4 linked regions of the Mus musculus genome follow. The protein of the gene in region 3 interacts with the protein of the main gene of each other region in a biochemical or structural test. Links are inferred from orthologs where the notes say so. Each region holds a gene or a part of one and is shown on either strand. Other genes may lie near its edges.

Region 1 (4,236 bases), on a different chromosome or scaffold from region 3:
AACAAATATGTAAAAATAAAAAAGAGTAATGAAAGGTGAATACAATTACAACTGTGTACATGTATAAAATTACCCCCCCCCAAAAAAAACCTTAGAATTTAAAGAAAAAAGAAAACCAAAACCACCCAGAAACCAGATCCTACAAAGAAAACTAAAATGTGGAAGTATGGGCAACCCCAAAATATAACCAGATTCCTGAAAACCACCTAAAATCTGCCACTTGCATATTCTTTTGCTTATGTGTACAGTTGATGGTCACAGAACCAGATGTTATGGCCACCACCTGCAATCCTGGCAATTGGGAAATGGAGGCTTCAATTACACAAGAAATCAAAGCTATGCTGGGCTACATGAGATTCTATCCCAAAAAATAAAAAAATTCTTACAAATAGGACGTATTTAAAGTCTCCTAAAAACAACTACCGCCGGGCAGTGGTGGCGCACTCCTTTAATCCCAGCACTCGGGAGGCAGAGGCAGGCGGATTTCTGAGTTCGAGGCCAGCCTGGTCTACAGAGTGAGTTCCAGGACAGCCAGAGCTACACAGAGAAACTCTGTCTCGAAAAACAAAACAAAACAAAACAAAACCCAAAAAACAACTACCATCTCCTGCACTCGGAACTTGGGAAATGCTAGTTTCTTTGAGCAAAAATAGCCTGCACCTCGAGGGACTTATTGATTCAGGGACTGGTGCAGGTTCCACAGTAAGGAGGTAGGGAATGTTCTCCAATATAACCATTGTTTGAAGCAGGAGGATTCCGAGTTCCAGATAAGCTAAAACCCTGCCTTAAAAAGGGGAAGAAGCCAAACACAGTGGCCCATATCTTTATTCCCAGACAGTGGCAGGCAGAGAACTGTTGAGTTTTGAATGCCAGCATGGTCTACTCATTGAGTTCTAGAACAGAGAGAACTACTCATTGACACACTGTTTCAATAAATAAATTAATAAACAAACAAGCCAACCAAGTGTGGTAGTACACTGTTTAAGAAGAGGATTGGAACTACAGAGTTCAAGGCCAGACCAGGATTGAGACCTGTCTCTCTTAGTGGGTGGTCTGCATATATGTAGACAAAACAAATAAAAGGAGGGCTGAGGATATAGCCCAGTTGACAATGTGCTTGCCTATCCTATCCTTCACACACACACACACACCACCCAGGCTGAGGCAGAATTTGAAACTTCAAGTCAGTCTGGACAACTTGGTGAACCATCTCAAAAAAATAACAGCCGGGCCTGGTGGCGCATGCCTTTAATCCCAGCACTTGGGAGGCAGAGGCAGGCGGATTTCCGAGTTCAAGGCCAGCCTGGTCTACAAAGTGAGTTCCAGGACAGCCAGGGCTACACAGAGAAACCCTGTCTCGAAAAAACAAGGGATTTTCATCCTTCCTTGTCTATAGCTCTGTGGGAGAACAGAAGGCCTGGCACACAGGGAATGACCTGGAACCTCTGATCCTCTTACCTTAAACAGTGCACTACTACACTTGGTTCTATTTATTTTCCTTTTTGCCAGACCTTGAGTTTAACTCTAGGAGCCCAACCCCCCCAAAAAAAAGTAAAAGTCTATGCAATACCGAACTTGGGAAGCTGACACAGGGAGACTGACTGAGGCCAGCCTGGGATACTAGGGCTGACCCTGTAAGGGAGAATTAGCCTTCCCTAGGGATGAATTCCCTAAATGGTTATCCAATCCCAAATGGTAAGCTTTAGAAACAAATATATACACATTAACACTAAATGGGCTCTGCATGTTGGATGAATTTGGGGAGAGAGTTGACAATGGGAATGGCTAGAGAAAGGAGACCAAGTAATTATATTTGAATTAAAATAAAGGTTCATTGGGTAGCTATTTTTCAGGCCTGGATAAATCATCAGTATTACACAAATACAAAAAAGGTATAACTTTCAAAGAAATCCACCTAATATCTAGCATCCTCTAAACAACGATCCTCTCCAAGCAACCCTAGTAAAAAGGAATACATTAAGAGACAGTGAAACTACGGTTCACGGAAGAAAATTCCCACTCCAGTTACTGTGTTCTAGGCACTTGGTAGAAATTATTTCATACGCACACAAACGCACACGCACATGCACACAAACTTGGGAGACAGGTACCCACATGAAAGAGGCGGAAAACAAGGCCTGAAAGTTTAACTCACTCGGGTTTAGTACAGCCAACTCCAGATTCAAACCTCAGCTGTCATAGTGTCCTAACCACCACAATGAATTAACATGTCAGGATAGGTGTTCCGACTAGAAATTTGATAAACAATAAGCAGCAAGCTACAAGAACAGACTGATCGTATCACAAAAAGAAAAAGAAAAATAGGGCACCAGGGTAGCCCACGACCAAGCGACTACTGACTCACATTTAAAGGAAGAGTCGGGCCGCCAAACTGAACTGACAGGCATCAACCACCCTCAAAGTTGAAAGGAATCTTGTCACCCCACCCCTGAGCCACAGGTTCTCCAACGCCTGAATCCGGGCGACTCTGGAGCCCCTGGGTCCCGCGGCGCCCCGCGCCCCCTGCCCGCGCGGCCACCGCTACCTACGGACGTAGGGCTCCTCGCGGCCTCCCGCCCCCGGGCTGAGGCCTAGGCCAGGGCCGCCCACCCCAACCCACCGCGTCGCCTCCCGGCCCGAGGCCCCGCACTGACCGTTGTATGACTTCCCTTCGTCCGCCATGGCACAGGCAGGTACAGGGGCGGGCTCAGGCGCAGAACCTGACGCCACCAAACGCCAAGGAGCCTTAGCGCTCAGGACAGAATCTCTCCTACGACCGGCGCCACCGCATTTATCCGGCGAAGCACGTCGCGCGCCGCCGACGTCCCCAGGATGTGGGCGGTGCCGCGGGACGTGAACGCGCTCTCTGAGCCTGCGCAGAAGCAGGGCGGCCGCTCGGGGGCGTGGCCAGGCCCTCCGAGGCCCGCCCACGGCCGGAGCTCCGGCCGGATGGCCTATCGGCCGGCCCCGCCTTCCTATTTCTTCGCTGGCCCGGTCCCGGAGCTAAACCCTCTGCGTTAGCACTGAACTCAAGAGGAGCAGGGTCGAGGGCTACACACAAGAATGGAGACCTGGCCTCTGAACGGGAGTAACGGCCCACAGTCCCCGCCGGTGGGATCCCGGCAGCGAGTAAGTCGCAGCTCAGTTCCTTGCCAGCCGCTGGCCTATGCCCTCTTAGCTTTTCTCATCTCCACGACGAATTATGACGAAATAGAAAATTGGAATGTAAGCCCCACTGGAGCAGGAACCTTAACTAATGCGAACTTTTCTTCCTCCAGCACAGTATCATGCCCAGTGTGAAACCCAAGTGTGAATTAAACGAAATCCTGTCCTTCGTAGGTTTTTAAATTGACTAATGAAAAAAGGTCTTTTAAATTGACTAATGAAAAAAAAAGTCAAGTCGGGTGTAGTGGAGCAGGTCTTTAAACCCAGCATTTGGAAGGCAGAGGCAGGCAGATCTTTGAGTTTGAGGCCAGTCTTGGCTCTATAGAAATTTCTAGAACAGCCAGAGCTATGTAGAGACCCTTCCTCCAAAAAAAATAAAATAATAAAATAAAATAAAAAAGCTTTAGTCTTACTATCAATACTTTGTCCAGTTCAGAGATAGGGAACACTACATAGACCATCTCAAAACAAAATCAGGGATCTAGTGAGCCTTAAGCCTTGATCTTCACTTCACTCAGTCTGTCATACTGAAGCCTAATTGGTAGACCCAGGTCAGCTAGGTAGGTAGCTAGGGAAAGTTGCTAGTTTTGGGTTTTGTTTCTTGAAACAGGGTTTCTGTGAAACTTGCTTTGTAGACCAAGTTGGCCACAAACTCAAGAAATTCACCTGCTTCCAACTCCCAAGTGTTGACTGAAACTTTAATGTCAAACCCAAGAGCTCTAGGAAACTTTTCTGGTGTGGCTAGGACTATTGCAGCCTTGGATCCAGATGCTGCTGTGGGAGGGGGAAGCAGATGGGGTGCTGGTAGGCATGGAGCATGACTTGATTTGAAGATACAAAACAGGCTCAAACTTATGGGTACTGTCTTGGAAGTTGCCGCCCAATTATGAACCCACTTAGTCCAAAGGAAAACTCTTATGAAGTGCTGCTGTACTTGGCTACTCGCTTCTAGGGGGGAGTTGTGTGTACAGAGCTCCGGAGCTACCCTGCCTATCAGTAGGGGCCCATCAGAGTCACTGACTTAACCCTTTTGGTTCTGGTATTGGGCAGTGGTTAGCTTTTTGCTGAAGT
Region 2 (4,207 bases), on a different chromosome or scaffold from region 3:
ATCACCCCTTCAGTCTCACAAGTGCTAGGACTACAGGCATATGTCACCATTTACATTTTAATTAATTAACTAATTTATTTATTTTGGTTTTTCCGAGACAGGGTTTCTCTGTATAGCCCTGGCTGTCCTGGAACTCACTCTGTAGACCAGGCTGGCCTCGAACTCAGAAATCCGCCTGCCTCTGCCTCCCGAGTGCTGGGATTAAAGGCGTGCGCCACCACCTCCTGGCTCCTGAGAACTTTTTTTTTTTTTTTTTTTTTTTTTTTTAAAGATTCATTTATTTATTATATGTAAGTACACTGTAGCTGTCTTCAGACAATCCAGAAGAGGGTGTCAGATCTTGTTATGGATGGTTGTGAGCCACCATGTGGTTGCTGGGATTTGAACTCTGAACCTTCGGAAGAGCAGTCGGGTGCTCTTACCCACTGAGCCATTCCTGAGAACTTTTAAGGAATAAGGAGAAACCCAAATTTCTTGAACACTATCTTTTTGATCCTGAAGATGCAAAAGTATACATAGCCTAGTGTTTATAAAGTTAAGGTTTGATTCCTACCCAGCACTATGAAAAGAGGGGAGAGGGAGAGGGAGAGAGATATCTCCTCTGCACACACCACCCAAAAGCTTGGAATATGCAAGCTGATCTACAGCCATAAACACAACTCATCTAAAACTGAGACAAGCTGGAGTTGGTTTTAGTTCTTTGAGGCGGGGTCTCATGTATCCCAGGCTGACCTTGAATTTCCCATGCAGCTGAAGATGTAACTTGTGATCCTCATGTTCCTACCTCTATGATGGTAGGTAAGTAAACTGGACTGCAAGCTTGTACCACCATACCCAGTTTATTCAGTGCTAGTGATCAAACAAGAAATCTATCAACTGAGTTACATCCCTGTCTCCAAAAAAAGTGTGGAAATAGCTGCTTTTAGTTCCAAGTGGCTCCTACTTCTTTGACCTTTTATGTTCTGTGGATAGTCCTTCCCAACTGCTTAGCTTAGCACACCAGGGAGTCTCTCCAGAGCCTATTGGCTAAGCCTTACTTCCATGTGCTTAACAGCTATAATAGAGATTAAGAAGCTGAGTCAGTCCATAGAAGGTAGGCCCTGGTGAGAGCTGAGCAATTTGCTTGTGGCCTTTGACTAGGGAGAATGACTGGACAGAGAACTGTACTGGAGGGGGAAAAAAAAAATCAAGTGAAAGCCAGAGCAACAGTACTGAGGAAATATTCAGGGAGCAGGGGGCGCTAAAGATAGTGGCTTTCAGCTTTCTGGCCCTAAGTCAGTCATCCTAAGAGACTGGGCACTCTGCTTGCCCAGGTCTCTGGGACCTCTTAGGCCTTTTAAGAACTGTGACACAGAAGCCAGCAACAGACCAGAGAATTCAACCTGACAAGAGATGCTTTCTGCCAAGTCCTGGGAGCTTTTCTCCACTAGTTCCTAATCATCACTCAAAACAGAAGTGCATTCTCAAAGCCTGCCTACTAGTAACTAGTCAAATACACTACATCTCCAGGAATTCAAGGTGATGGATGACCTGAGGTGCCATTGCTAAGGTACTTTCTCTAGACCCATCCAGCTTCTTGACTGTTCACAGGCAGCCCTAGCACACGTGAAGAGAAAGCAGACATCGTGACTTCTAGTTCTAGATCTACAAAACAACTTCAAAAGGCAAAAACAGTCTAAGCCAGTGCCATAGGCACAAGGCCCCTTCCACCTTCTCTGGGCTCAAAAACCTCAAGCATGGAGTCCATTTCTTCATGAATTAAATCCGACCTCATCACTTCAGTAAGGAGTCATCTTCCTGCTAACTCTAGGAGGTTCTAACGTACTTTAGAATTGGGCCCTGACTGAGAAATCTAACAAAAACACTGGAGGCTCACACAACCCACCCCAGAGCTGGAGTCTAGTCATGGATAAGATTGGAGCTGCCTCTCCAAAGATACTAGGTCCTTATTTTCCAGGACTAGCTAGAGGTAAAGTCCCACGAGGCATCCCCTCCCACCCCAGAATCCCTGCCCTTGTCCTCCATGCTGGACACTGCAGCACCGGTTCTACCGAGGTAGAGGTTAAGTTTCGTGCACTCCCAGCAGGCAATCAAGCAGAGAAGCGTTCACCTACATCCTAGCCGGGCTATGGTTTGGAACCGGGCAATGGTCCCAAGCCCCAGCAGCGGCAGGAGGGCCACCCTTACCCATGCTGGCTCTGGAGCGAGCTGGGTGGCGTTGCCCATCCCCGGATCTTCGCCGGCGGGTGGTGGGACGTGGGTCTGGGATCGGCCCGCCAACCTGCCTGCAGAGGTTGCAGGATTCGAGCAAGCCAGGCAAGGCCACACAGGGCCGGGCCCTGAGAGCTATCCTGATCGTCCGGACAAAAGAAAAAGATCTGGCCATCAGCCAAGACACAGGGTGGCCCGGACAGCCGTCCATCAGGCTCTCAGCATTCCCCGGGCCGCGGCCGCAGACAATCCGCGGTAGGCGGAGCCGCGCGCGACACATGGTGCGGGCCCCGTGCCTCTTCGGGCCGCCGTGGGGGTGTGAAGAGGGGAGGGGCCTCCCAGGGCCTCGAAGCAGAAGCTCCCGGCGGCCTAGAGCGCGGCTCCTGCGGCCCAGCCCCCGCCCCGGAGCGCTGGCCCCAACACTCACCCGTGGGGCTGGCACGATGGCGGCAGCGGCGGCGGCAACCCAGCGCGGTCTGCGACCGACTGTCCCTTCCCCCTTGCCTTCCCTCGCCCGTCCCGCTGCACTCAGGGAAACGTAGTCCCAGTATGCTCCTTATACGCCTTAGTGAGCTTAGCTAGAACTACATTTCCCAGAATGCCATTCGCAGAGGCGCAGCCACGGCTCGCAGCGCGGGAGGAGAGGCTAAGTTAGGGAGGGAGGCGGTCCGGGTGAGCCCCTGAGAATTGTGGTCTAGCGGAAGCCTCTGGAACACGGAGTTGGCGCCAGGCAAGGATCAGGTCTCGGTTGTAGCTGGGTCCCAGCTGGCTTGGCCCCGCCTAAGTGTATGTGGCCTATGGAGCCTGACCCCGCCTCCATGGGAGCCTGGTTTAGCTTGGAGCTGGCTGGCTTGTCCCAGCAGCCCCTCCCTAGGCCCCTAGTCCAAAGCCTACTCCCTTTAGGCGCCCTGGCTACCAGCTCTGCTCCTCTAGCATCAACCCACGGGGGCGAAACCCACTCCTCTCTTGTTCAATGAGTTAGCTGTGTCTCAGAGGAAGCCACTTATCCCAAAGTTGGTTGGAAGGTAACTAGGTTTTTATTGAAACTCTAAACACTCATCTAAGGTGGGCCCATAGTTGGAGAGGTTAACCTCACGTGTACAGAGAGGTATTTTTAAAAACAGAATCGTGAGGGTTTTCTTTTTTTGATTTCCAGGTTTACTTGTTTTGTTGGAGCAGACAGGGCAACTATTTTTGTTTGTTTATTTGTGTTGAGGAGGGATGAGCCACGACATGGGTGTGGAGGAGAGAAGCAGCTTTCTGGAGTCAGTTCTTCCACCATGGGGGCCTTGAAATCAGATTCTCTCAGGTTTAGCGACCCACGGAGCCAGCTCACCTTCCAACTTTAATTTTTATTGAAAGATAACTGGCGAAACGTAATTTTCCTAAATGGCCAGACTGTAAATAATCTTCCCACCCCTTCCCCTTTACTTTCAATATCCTTTTCAGTTTCCTGGGTGACACAAATATTTGAAGTAACGCCTCTCCGTCCCGCCTGTGCTGGGCAAATGGCTCTGCTACCAACCCACAGAACCACAGAAAAGGAAAATGGCTGCAAACACCCCTATCTTCCTAGTCAGAAGACTCTTTAATACTTCTGTTTTGCCCTCTTAGCCTCACCCCACCTCCTGGAGATGACTGATAAAACCAGGCTAAGCTTCTTGATTAAAGCCCCTGTCTAAACTGGGCAGTGGTGGCACGTGCCTTTAATCTCTGCACTTGGGAGGCAGAGACAGCAGATTTCTGAGTTCAAGGCCAGCCTGGTCTAAAGAGTGAGCTCCAGGACTTCCAGGAGACAGAGAAACCCTGTCTCGAAAAACAAAACAAACCAAAAAAAAAAAAAAAAGAGAAAAAAAATCCTCTGTCTATCCAGACCACTTTGCTTGGTCACTAAGAACTCCATGTTACCCTGTTGGCGACACATCAGGAGCCTGACCCCACCAAGAAAACAAAACACAAGCAAATCATGAGACAGGATGAAGGATCCAAGGAATGT
Region 3 (4,152 bases):
CTCAGGGTGGCAGGCCTCCAGGGATGATCACAACTCCCATAAAGTGACGGCTGTGCACATGCTGGGGAGGGCATGGCAGCTAAATGTGAAAACCAGCTCTTGAGTTAAGGTGGATCTGAGGGCGGGGGAAGCATCTGGGTAGGACCTCAGGAAAGAAAAAAGAAGTACCATGGGGAAGACTATGGGCTGGTACCCCCACTCTGCACTGTCTTTGAAACCTTTCGATTATTCCAAAAGTTTACTTTAAAATACCAAACTCAAGGAAAGGAGCACCACCGGCACAGCAACATGGCACAATGTTTCAAATAAAAACCAGCACCTGTGGGGCCCAGGGATGCAGCTCAGGTGGTAGAATGTCCATTTAGCATGCAGTTCATGAAGCTCTGGGTCCATCCCATTTCTGTATTCGTAGCAGACTCCACATGGACTTAACAAAGCCCATAGCTGGCAAGGGAGGGCTGGAGTCTAAACACATCAAATCACGCCTGTGCTCAAACACTGGCAGAAGATAAGAATTCACACTCTGATGGCTCAGTGTTACAGAGCACTGACTGCTTTTCCAGAGCAACCACATGGTGGCTCACAACCATCTGCAATGGAATCTGATGCCCTCTTCTGGTGTGTCTGAAGAGAACCTGTGTACTTACATAAATAAAATCTAAAAAAAAAAAAAGAGTGCCCATTCCAAGGGGAATTATCTCAAGGACTTGTAACTTTCAAAATCAGTATTCCCCACCTGCTCTGAATCTTTTACAGTACCAGGGATGGACACCAGAGTCTGGAAAGCAGTATTCTGGCCAACACTCTGCCACCAACCTCCAACCCCAGCCCATTACATATTTTTTTAAAATCAGGATCTTTGTTAAGTTCTCTAGACAGCCAAGAACTCACTTTCTAGTCAAGGCAAGCCTTGAGCTTTTTTCCTCCCCTTACTCAGTATGTAGACCTGTCACTACAGGTGGTGGAGGTCAGAGGACAACCGTCTAGAGTTGCTTTTGTCCTTCTACCAAGTGGGTCCTGAGGATGGAACTCAGGAGGGTTGAGTTTAGAGATCACCACCAGAGCCATCTCAAAGCAGCTCCAGCCCTGACCTTGACTTTCAATACTCCTGTCTTAGCCTCCTAAGTAGGTGAGATATCAAGCCTGGCCTCTGGACTTTTTCTTTTTAAAACACATTGAGGCCAGTCAGTATGACCCTGAACTCATGATTTCTTTTCTCCCATCTCCCAAATCCTGAGAATACAGGCAAGTCAAGCCCAATCCATGTGGTGCTTGGACAGAGACTAAGGTTCTGGTGTTAAAAACAGACGAGCATTCTTGAGCTCTATCTCCAACCATTCAGTCTCTCAGCTGCTACAAATATGACACACTGACTGACTTTCACATGGAATGCCAGCCATGTACATGAACATGGGGTAGAAAACAGGGTTCACGCATCATCCCCGGTGAAGGACAAGAGGGACTCTTTTACTAAATGGAATATAAATGTCCTATTTTGGACAGGATCAAGAAATAATTATCTAGTGGGGTCAGCAAGAGAGCAAGGACTGCAAGAAAGTCAGAGCAAGGGCAAAACCTTAGAGGTCGGCAGGGATGGCTGGAAACAGAAACCTTGGAGGTGGGACACACAGAACGATCATATGGCTAAGAATCTGGGGTAGGGAGAGTAAAAGAGGTGAAGTCAGGGTTTTTTTCTAAAAGAAAATACAATGACTGAGCAGTGGGTAAAGGCTGCCAAATAGTTTGACCCGAGTTCCGTCCCTGGGACTCACATGGTCAGAGAACCAACTCCTGCTAGCTCTCCTCTGACCACCACAATAAATGTTAAAACAAAACAAACAAAAATATGTTGAAGAGTCTCGTGGTTAGGACTTCGTGGCCTACTTTCCATAGCTGATATATCTGTGCGCGTATACAGCGCTCTACAAGTACTTGGGAAGCGTTATCTCGCGGTTGCTGCCTGGAACTCCTCTATGAAGCCTAAGCTAGCTTGCGCCATTCGGCGATGGGCTTAACCCACGAGGTCTCGGGTGGCAAATTCGTGAAGCAGGGAGAGAGAACGAGACGAGCTGGTTTCGGGTGTGAAAGACACATCGGATCTGACCGATTCAGGAGACCGAGCCCGGGCCCCCAGCCTGAAGCAGAGAGTGGAGGGTCAGGGCGACATGGCGGGCCCGGGGTCGCCACCGCCCCGTCGGGGCCGCGCGAGGGCGGGGCGCGGAGGGATCCAGGCAAGCCCGCGCTGCGCCGCCCCCGGTATATTTGTCCCCAGGCCCCGGGGCCGCCTCATTTTCAACCCTCTCAGCACAGTCTCCCTTAACGCTCCCGCCACGCCGCCTCCGCCCGCGCAATGGCTCTGTAGCCGCGACCCCGTCGTGTCCCCCGCCCCCGTCTCCGCGCTCACCGCGCCTTCACTCTCCGCTCACACCGTCTCTTCAGCCGAGGCCGCCGCCGCCGTTGCCTCCTCGCCTTTTCGCCGCCATGGAGTGAGTAACCGCTCGCCCCTCCCTCGCCAACTGCCTTTCCCGCCCTTTCAGAGCTCGCGGGGCTTCACGGGTCAGCCTCGTGGTGGGGGCGGGGGAGACGAAGTGAGGAACCACGGTCGCGCAGGCGCAGAAGAGGGAAGCTGGCGGCCGGCGCATCCGCTGAGCAAGCGCACTAGGCTCGAGTTGCGAGGGGCGGGGAGGAGGAGGGCGTGCTTCCGGAGAATTTGGGGGCTTTTAAGGTCGGCTCGCGCGCCGTTGCGCCTGCGCGCTAATTCACAGACCCTCTGCCCCTTTTCCTCCAAGGAGACAACCCCACAACCTGTTGCGCATGCGCATTGTCTTATTCCCCCACCCCCCCACCCCTCCACCCCCGGCCTGAACTACGGCGGGCGGCCGGTCATTGGCTAAACACGCGCACTGGTCCCCCAGGAGGGTAGTGGCGTAACAATGGATCGGGTCCTGGGACTGAGCTTGCGCCTCGTCGCTAGTCGAGCCAGCAGCGAGGAAGGGTGGGGTTTTGCTTGAGGCTCCGACTCAGGCCCAACTTCCCTCCAATCAGACACCTGCTGGGGCGGGGACTGGCTTAAACTGACAGGAAAGGCTTTAGGAACACCTTTAAGAAAGAGTTAGCACTAGCACTACAGGGGCGGGGCCTCTAGGGACTTGCTAGTGGGGGACGGGAACTGACTGTGACAGACAGAAGGGTGGGCGGAGCTTCCCGTAGAATCTTTAGAAGTCACCAAAATTTTTAAGGGAAGAGCGGGATCTGTGTGTGTGACACTGATGAAGGGCCCAGGCATGCAGAATTATTCTGGGAACCCCTGTGGATTAAAGGGGGTATAGTCTAATGATGCGGAAGGGGCACGGCTAGAAGGAAATTCCCTTGGGATTGAAATTTTTATGAAGAGGAATAAGATGAGGTGGGTAGGAGGGACTAGAGGTAATTCCCCTGGGAAAACACTAGGTTTCTGTGTTGAGGGAGGAGATGGGGCAGGGGAGTTTCCAATAATGTCCCTGGGAATGTGTGGAGCGCTGAAATTTTCGGAAAGAAGGAAACTGTGTAGCCTGTGGGTCAAGCCGCTTTGACTCAATCCCACCCACGTCCCCTTGTCCTCACAGGTCCTCCACCTTCGCCTTGGTGCCTGTCTTCACCCAGCTGAACAATCTTCCACGCTGCCTCCCAATTGTTGGTGCAGCCTCCATTGCCGTCGCTGCCCTGTGCCTGTGTCACAGCCATGTCACTCCTGGCGACCCTGGGACTGGAGCTGGACAGGGCCCTGCTCCCAGCTAGCGGGCTGGGCTGGCTCGTAGACTATGGGAAACTCCCCCTGGCCCCTGCCCCCCTGGGCCCCTATGAGGTCCTTGGGGGTGCCCTGGAGGGCGGGCTTCCAGGGGGGGGAGAGCCCCTGGCAGGTAAGAACAGGTTAAGAAGAGAGGTGGGTTGAGCTGGGGGTGGGGGTGGACAGAAAAGGAAGAATTTATTCCTTCACAAGATCAGTACTGAGGGCCTGCAGTGTGCCCAACACTGTTCTAGGTCTGCAGGGTTCCGAGCAAGGGATCCCTAAGCTCATGGGTGCATCAGGAGACAGAAGTGGGAGACCAAAGCTTAGTGGACAGTGATGAAAGACATAGTTGAGAAGTCAGCCCCTCTAAGTAGATGACATCT
Region 4 (4,049 bases), on a different chromosome or scaffold from region 3:
CTATGTAAAGCACCAGAGTGTTCTGCATTTTATTTAAAACCCAGTCTACAGAATTGATCTCTTTCAAATCTGCCCATTGTTAATGCTTCCTTTTCTAAACCCCATAGTAATATTGACTTCCAGAAAAGATTCCTTTCTTACATTTTGTACTTTTTCTTACAAATCATAGGAAGATTCACTAAAATCACTAAACTTAGTATACTGACACAAAACATTAAACATGAAATCTGCAGAAGTTACAAGGATTTATTGTCAGAATAACCTATCGCTTAACAATACTTCATCTCACATTTCAAGGTGGAGTGTATTCTAACTCTCTCGGTGTGGGTGGGGACACCAGGTGTCTCTTTAACTCTTTATATTGATGTTTGTGAGTTTTACAGCTTTCTTTTTTAAAAAGAGCCAGCCTAAAGAAACCGGCTGAAAGCCAAAGAGTTACTTTTAAAGCAAGCAGCTGATAAACAAGATGACTTAGCAGTCAAGGGCTAAAGCATTTCATAATGGGTTCGCCAAACATTTTAAACAAAAAACCCAAACGTTGTTCCTCTTCTGGAGAGGACTCAGGAGCCCAAATTAGCTAAATCCCACCCACGCTGCCTTACATTTTCTGCTGTGTTCATGGCTCTCACAGAAGTACTAAGACATTAAAAACAACCCTATTCAATAACCAGGCAACAATCTACAATTGGAAAAGCTTTTAAATGCTGCAATAATATAAAACACGGGATAAAATATAATAAATAACAAAAAATGCTTTTGTTCTGAAGGACTTGATTTAGTTAACATAATAAAAGCCAAAATCCAGGTGCTCGCCTAAGGCTCGGCTGTAAACATTTATCTCCACAATAATTCATTATTAGGAATTCAAGGATAACACTCTAGAGATTAGAATGGGAAACCACAGACCTGGTACTTAATTTTAACCAAGGTCATGGGGACAAGCTCAAATTTGAGCCAGGCTTTCCCATACCAGAGCAATTTCTGCACAGCTAACCACAAAAACAAAGACCAAAAATATTTGTGTCCAAATCTGAGGTTGGAGCTAGAAGATCAACTAGAAAATTACATGTTAGACAAGAACGTAGCACTTTCTAGCTCCTAAATTTAGCACATTACCTATCACTTTCCAAAGTCACATATCTGCTCTTTTAATACTGGAAATGACCATTTCTTCAAATAAAGTTAACAGTCAGAAAAGAGCAAGTTCTTACAAAAACCTACGACAGAATCTTACATTTTTGAAAATCATGATGGGGAAACAGAAAGGTGGAAATCTTGATCCCATTCCCATCTATTAAGGATGAGATACTATTTTAGAGTCATCTATTTATCTCACAATATTCAAAATCGTCAACTAAAACCTAGACACTGAGAAACAATAACCTCTCGGGAACCTTAGAGCTGCAGCCTGGTTCCCCATCCCCTCCCGCCCCAAACAGCCTCAATCTGGAAAGGCAGTTGAAGGACACTCCTACAATTTGGTTGTTTTCTTATTTTCTGTAGCAAAGGCTTGGAGATGCATCGTTGAAAAGAGGCAACCGCTTTGCACTTGTGCAGCTACACTCCAGTTGCTTTACAAACTCTTCAAGCAAGGATGGAAACTTAAAAAAGAAATAATAATGCACACCCTATGGATAAAGAGATACTGGGCTAAAGAATGGGGATGAAAACCCAGAGGCCATGGCGGAGGAATACATAGAGAAAGTAACACAAAGAAAGAGAATTAGGAGGGCGGGCAGGGTGGTCGCCGCCAAGCAACACACCGAGGTGGTTTCTTCCCTGAGGATAAGAAACGACTGTCGGGCTGGCACGTTCGCAGAGGAAGGGTGTGGTTGCAACAAGCAGGGAGGGCTGACCAGGGTAGGAAACTCCGTACTGGGGCAGCGGGTGCAATTGGGTGATGGCTAAGAGAACCCCTGGAAATTTCCAACCTAAATCGGGGCCGCTCAACCCAAGAACACAAGGCGCTGCCCCGGCGGGGTGCGGGCTCAAGTAGCTCTTCTTGGTGCTACTTGGAAGCACACCGAGGAGCCTTCGCTAGTCATGCCTGATGCAAAGTGAGGCTAGGATTACACCGAAATAGCATCCCCGCCCTAGCCTGGCAAAGGAGGACCAAATGTGGCTAAGGGAAAGGGGCTTTGGGGAGGAGGTGGAAGCGCACGGGAGGGAGCGACGGGCTGAAATTGAGGGAGAAAACAGTTGCGACGGGAGACAGAAATTGCAGAGATTCCAATGCAGCCCATTCCAAGACACACTAAGCGCGCACGTGTGCTATAGATTCGTCCCGAGAGAGAAGGCTACAACACTGATGGGATAAAGCAACAACGAAAAAGCCCCCAAAGCAAGCAAAATGCAAGCAAGCAACTAGAGAATGTTTACGAACGGACGGCAGCACCAAACCCGATCAGATAGCAGTAGAACTCGAGAGCTCAGTAATGCCACTGATGTAATGGGGATGGTCAGAGGGAAGTAATGAAAGATACAAGACGGCGCCAGACCCCAAAGGGACGTCTGCCAGAGTAGAATGGGACACTAGTACCTGTACTGTCGGCCACGTTGCCCACGGAAGACGCCATCTGGAGCTTCTTGAGATAGAACAAGGGGTAATTGACTTCTACTGCCGCCACTACTGACAAGAATGGTTCTAGAAGTAGCAGAAAAAAGGCAGCAGCCGTATCAGTGTTTTGAAGGGCTCAGGGGGCGGCACAGAATACTGAACTCGAATCTTAGGAACTCTTGGTAGACATCTACCTCTCACTGTCTTGAAATGGCGGCGAGGGCTCCTCGACCGAAACAACACAAGCCGGAACTACTTTCTGTTATAATCAAGTACCCCGCGGAGGTAGCGCGTAACAAGACTACCGACCAAGTGACTGTAATCAAAGTCATTTGCTCTTACGTAACCTTCCGCCCAAGGTCCATTGCGACAAACATGACTGTAGAGAGCGCATGCGACAACCCTGTCTAGGCAACTCCGGGTTAAGGGCTCCCTATGGGGCAAGAGCCAGCAAGTTTTTAAGAGCAAGGCGGAAGGGCAAAAAACGCCCGTCGATTACTTTTTTTTTTTTTTTTTTTTTTTTTTTTTTTGGCAAGCGCTAAAGTACGAGTCTACTACCTGGTCAGTGATGTCGATGTTAGAATGTCAGAGCGTCTAGAAAAGTTTAATTAACTCCATTCAACAGAAAAGGGTAGTTTACACGACCAACGTGTTAGTTCTAAGCAAGTAAACGCGAATATTTGCGTTTCAGAGACGGGGCTGTTCAAAACAATGGGGGAGCCGGTTCGATTTGAATGCTTTTTGATTCAGACTCCACCCATGAATTTAAGTACTTTGATGAGAAAAACGGACAGTCTCCCTGAGCTGAGTGAACCCAAATGTGTTCGATTTGAACCATATAACCCTAAAATTCAAAATCGTTTGTGAGATTCGGGATGGTAACAGGGTAAATGCTAGGAGTTTGCATGTCAAAAGCAACCACAGAAATGTTAAAGAGGATGCCTTTTTCCTCAAAATTCCTGATCCTGAATTGTGACCTTGTTTCGTCAGAATCATTAAGGACTGCAAATGCCTTGGAGCTTAAGGCAATTCAACAAAGCAAACTGTGTTCCTTTGCCTTCTTCCTAAACCACACAACTACAATGAATTTCCAATTGCCTTCCTTTGACAAAACAGCTCTTTGGATCCTCTTACGGTTTCAAGCCCAGTGTTTGGACATTTTTGTCACATTGTTATTAATTTATATTTCCTGCCTTGTTCCTTGACAGTTTTAAGACACGTCACTAAGTGATTATTACAAGCCACTGGGGACTACAGTTAGCTCTCTTAGAGTCTTTCCGTTTCAAAACTCTTTGATCTAGGAAAAATTAGTGAGCTTGTGTAAAAATGTTTGCTGTCTAGCTCCTTGGTGAAATAAAAAACAAATCCTCAAAGGCTGTTTCAGTTTCTTGAGATTGCCAAACAACCTATGAACTTTGGATTATGAGTGCAGAAAAAGTTGATAATATTGTTCATTTCTTCTGCCCCACAGAACCACAACATGTAGTAAAAA

The links. The genes of interacting proteins can lie anywhere in the genome.
Region 1: the proteins of Nup62 (region 3) and Nxf1 form a complex in vitro, tested with the Homo sapiens proteins (3 studies listed by BioGRID and IntAct). The link is inferred for Mus musculus from reciprocal best matches to the Homo sapiens genes NUP62 and NXF1.
Region 2: the proteins of Nup62 (region 3) and Nutf2 form a complex in vitro, tested with the Homo sapiens proteins (3 studies listed by BioGRID). The link is inferred for Mus musculus from reciprocal best matches to the Homo sapiens genes NUP62 and NUTF2.
Region 4: of the proteins of Nup62 (region 3) and Ogt, one has a biochemical effect on the other in vitro, tested with the Homo sapiens proteins (2 studies listed by BioGRID). The link is inferred for Mus musculus from reciprocal best matches to the Homo sapiens genes NUP62 and OGT.

Annotation. Positions count from the first base shown.
Region 1 is NC_000085.6:8,755,678-8,759,913, reverse strand, and holds the start of Nxf1 (nuclear RNA export factor 1), read right to left. Parts: upstream 2,812-4,236; 5' UTR 2,683-2,811; coding exon 2,655-2,682; intron 1-2,654.
Region 2 is NC_000074.6:105,859,137-105,863,343, reverse strand, and holds the start of Nutf2 (nuclear transport factor 2), read right to left. Parts: upstream 2,812-4,207; 5' UTR 2,639-2,811; exon of another isoform or gene 2,633-2,638; intron 2,470-2,632; exon of another isoform or gene 2,188-2,469; intron 1-2,187. UniProt on the Homo sapiens protein: Mediates the import of GDP-bound RAN from the cytoplasm into the nucleus which is essential for the function of RAN in cargo receptor-mediated nucleocytoplasmic transport.
Region 3 is NC_000073.6:44,814,736-44,818,887, reverse strand, and holds the start of Nup62 (nuclear pore glycoprotein p62), read right to left. Parts: upstream 2,801-4,152; 5' UTR 2,405-2,800; exon of another isoform or gene 2,230-2,404; intron 1-2,229. Other genes in the region: Atf5 (cyclic AMP-dependent transcription factor ATF-5), read left to right, coding at 3,722-3,899. UniProt on the Homo sapiens protein: Essential component of the nuclear pore complex. The N-terminal is probably involved in nucleocytoplasmic transport.
Region 4 is NC_000086.7:101,638,813-101,642,861, reverse strand, and holds the start of Ogt (UDP-N-acetylglucosamine--peptide N-acetylglucosaminyltransferase 110 kDa subunit), read right to left. Parts: upstream 2,812-4,049; 5' UTR 2,577-2,811; coding exon 2,540-2,576; intron 1-2,539. UniProt on the Homo sapiens protein: Catalyzes the transfer of a single N-acetylglucosamine from UDP-GlcNAc to a serine or threonine residue in cytoplasmic and nuclear proteins resulting in their modification with a beta-linked N-acetylglucosamine (O-GlcNAc).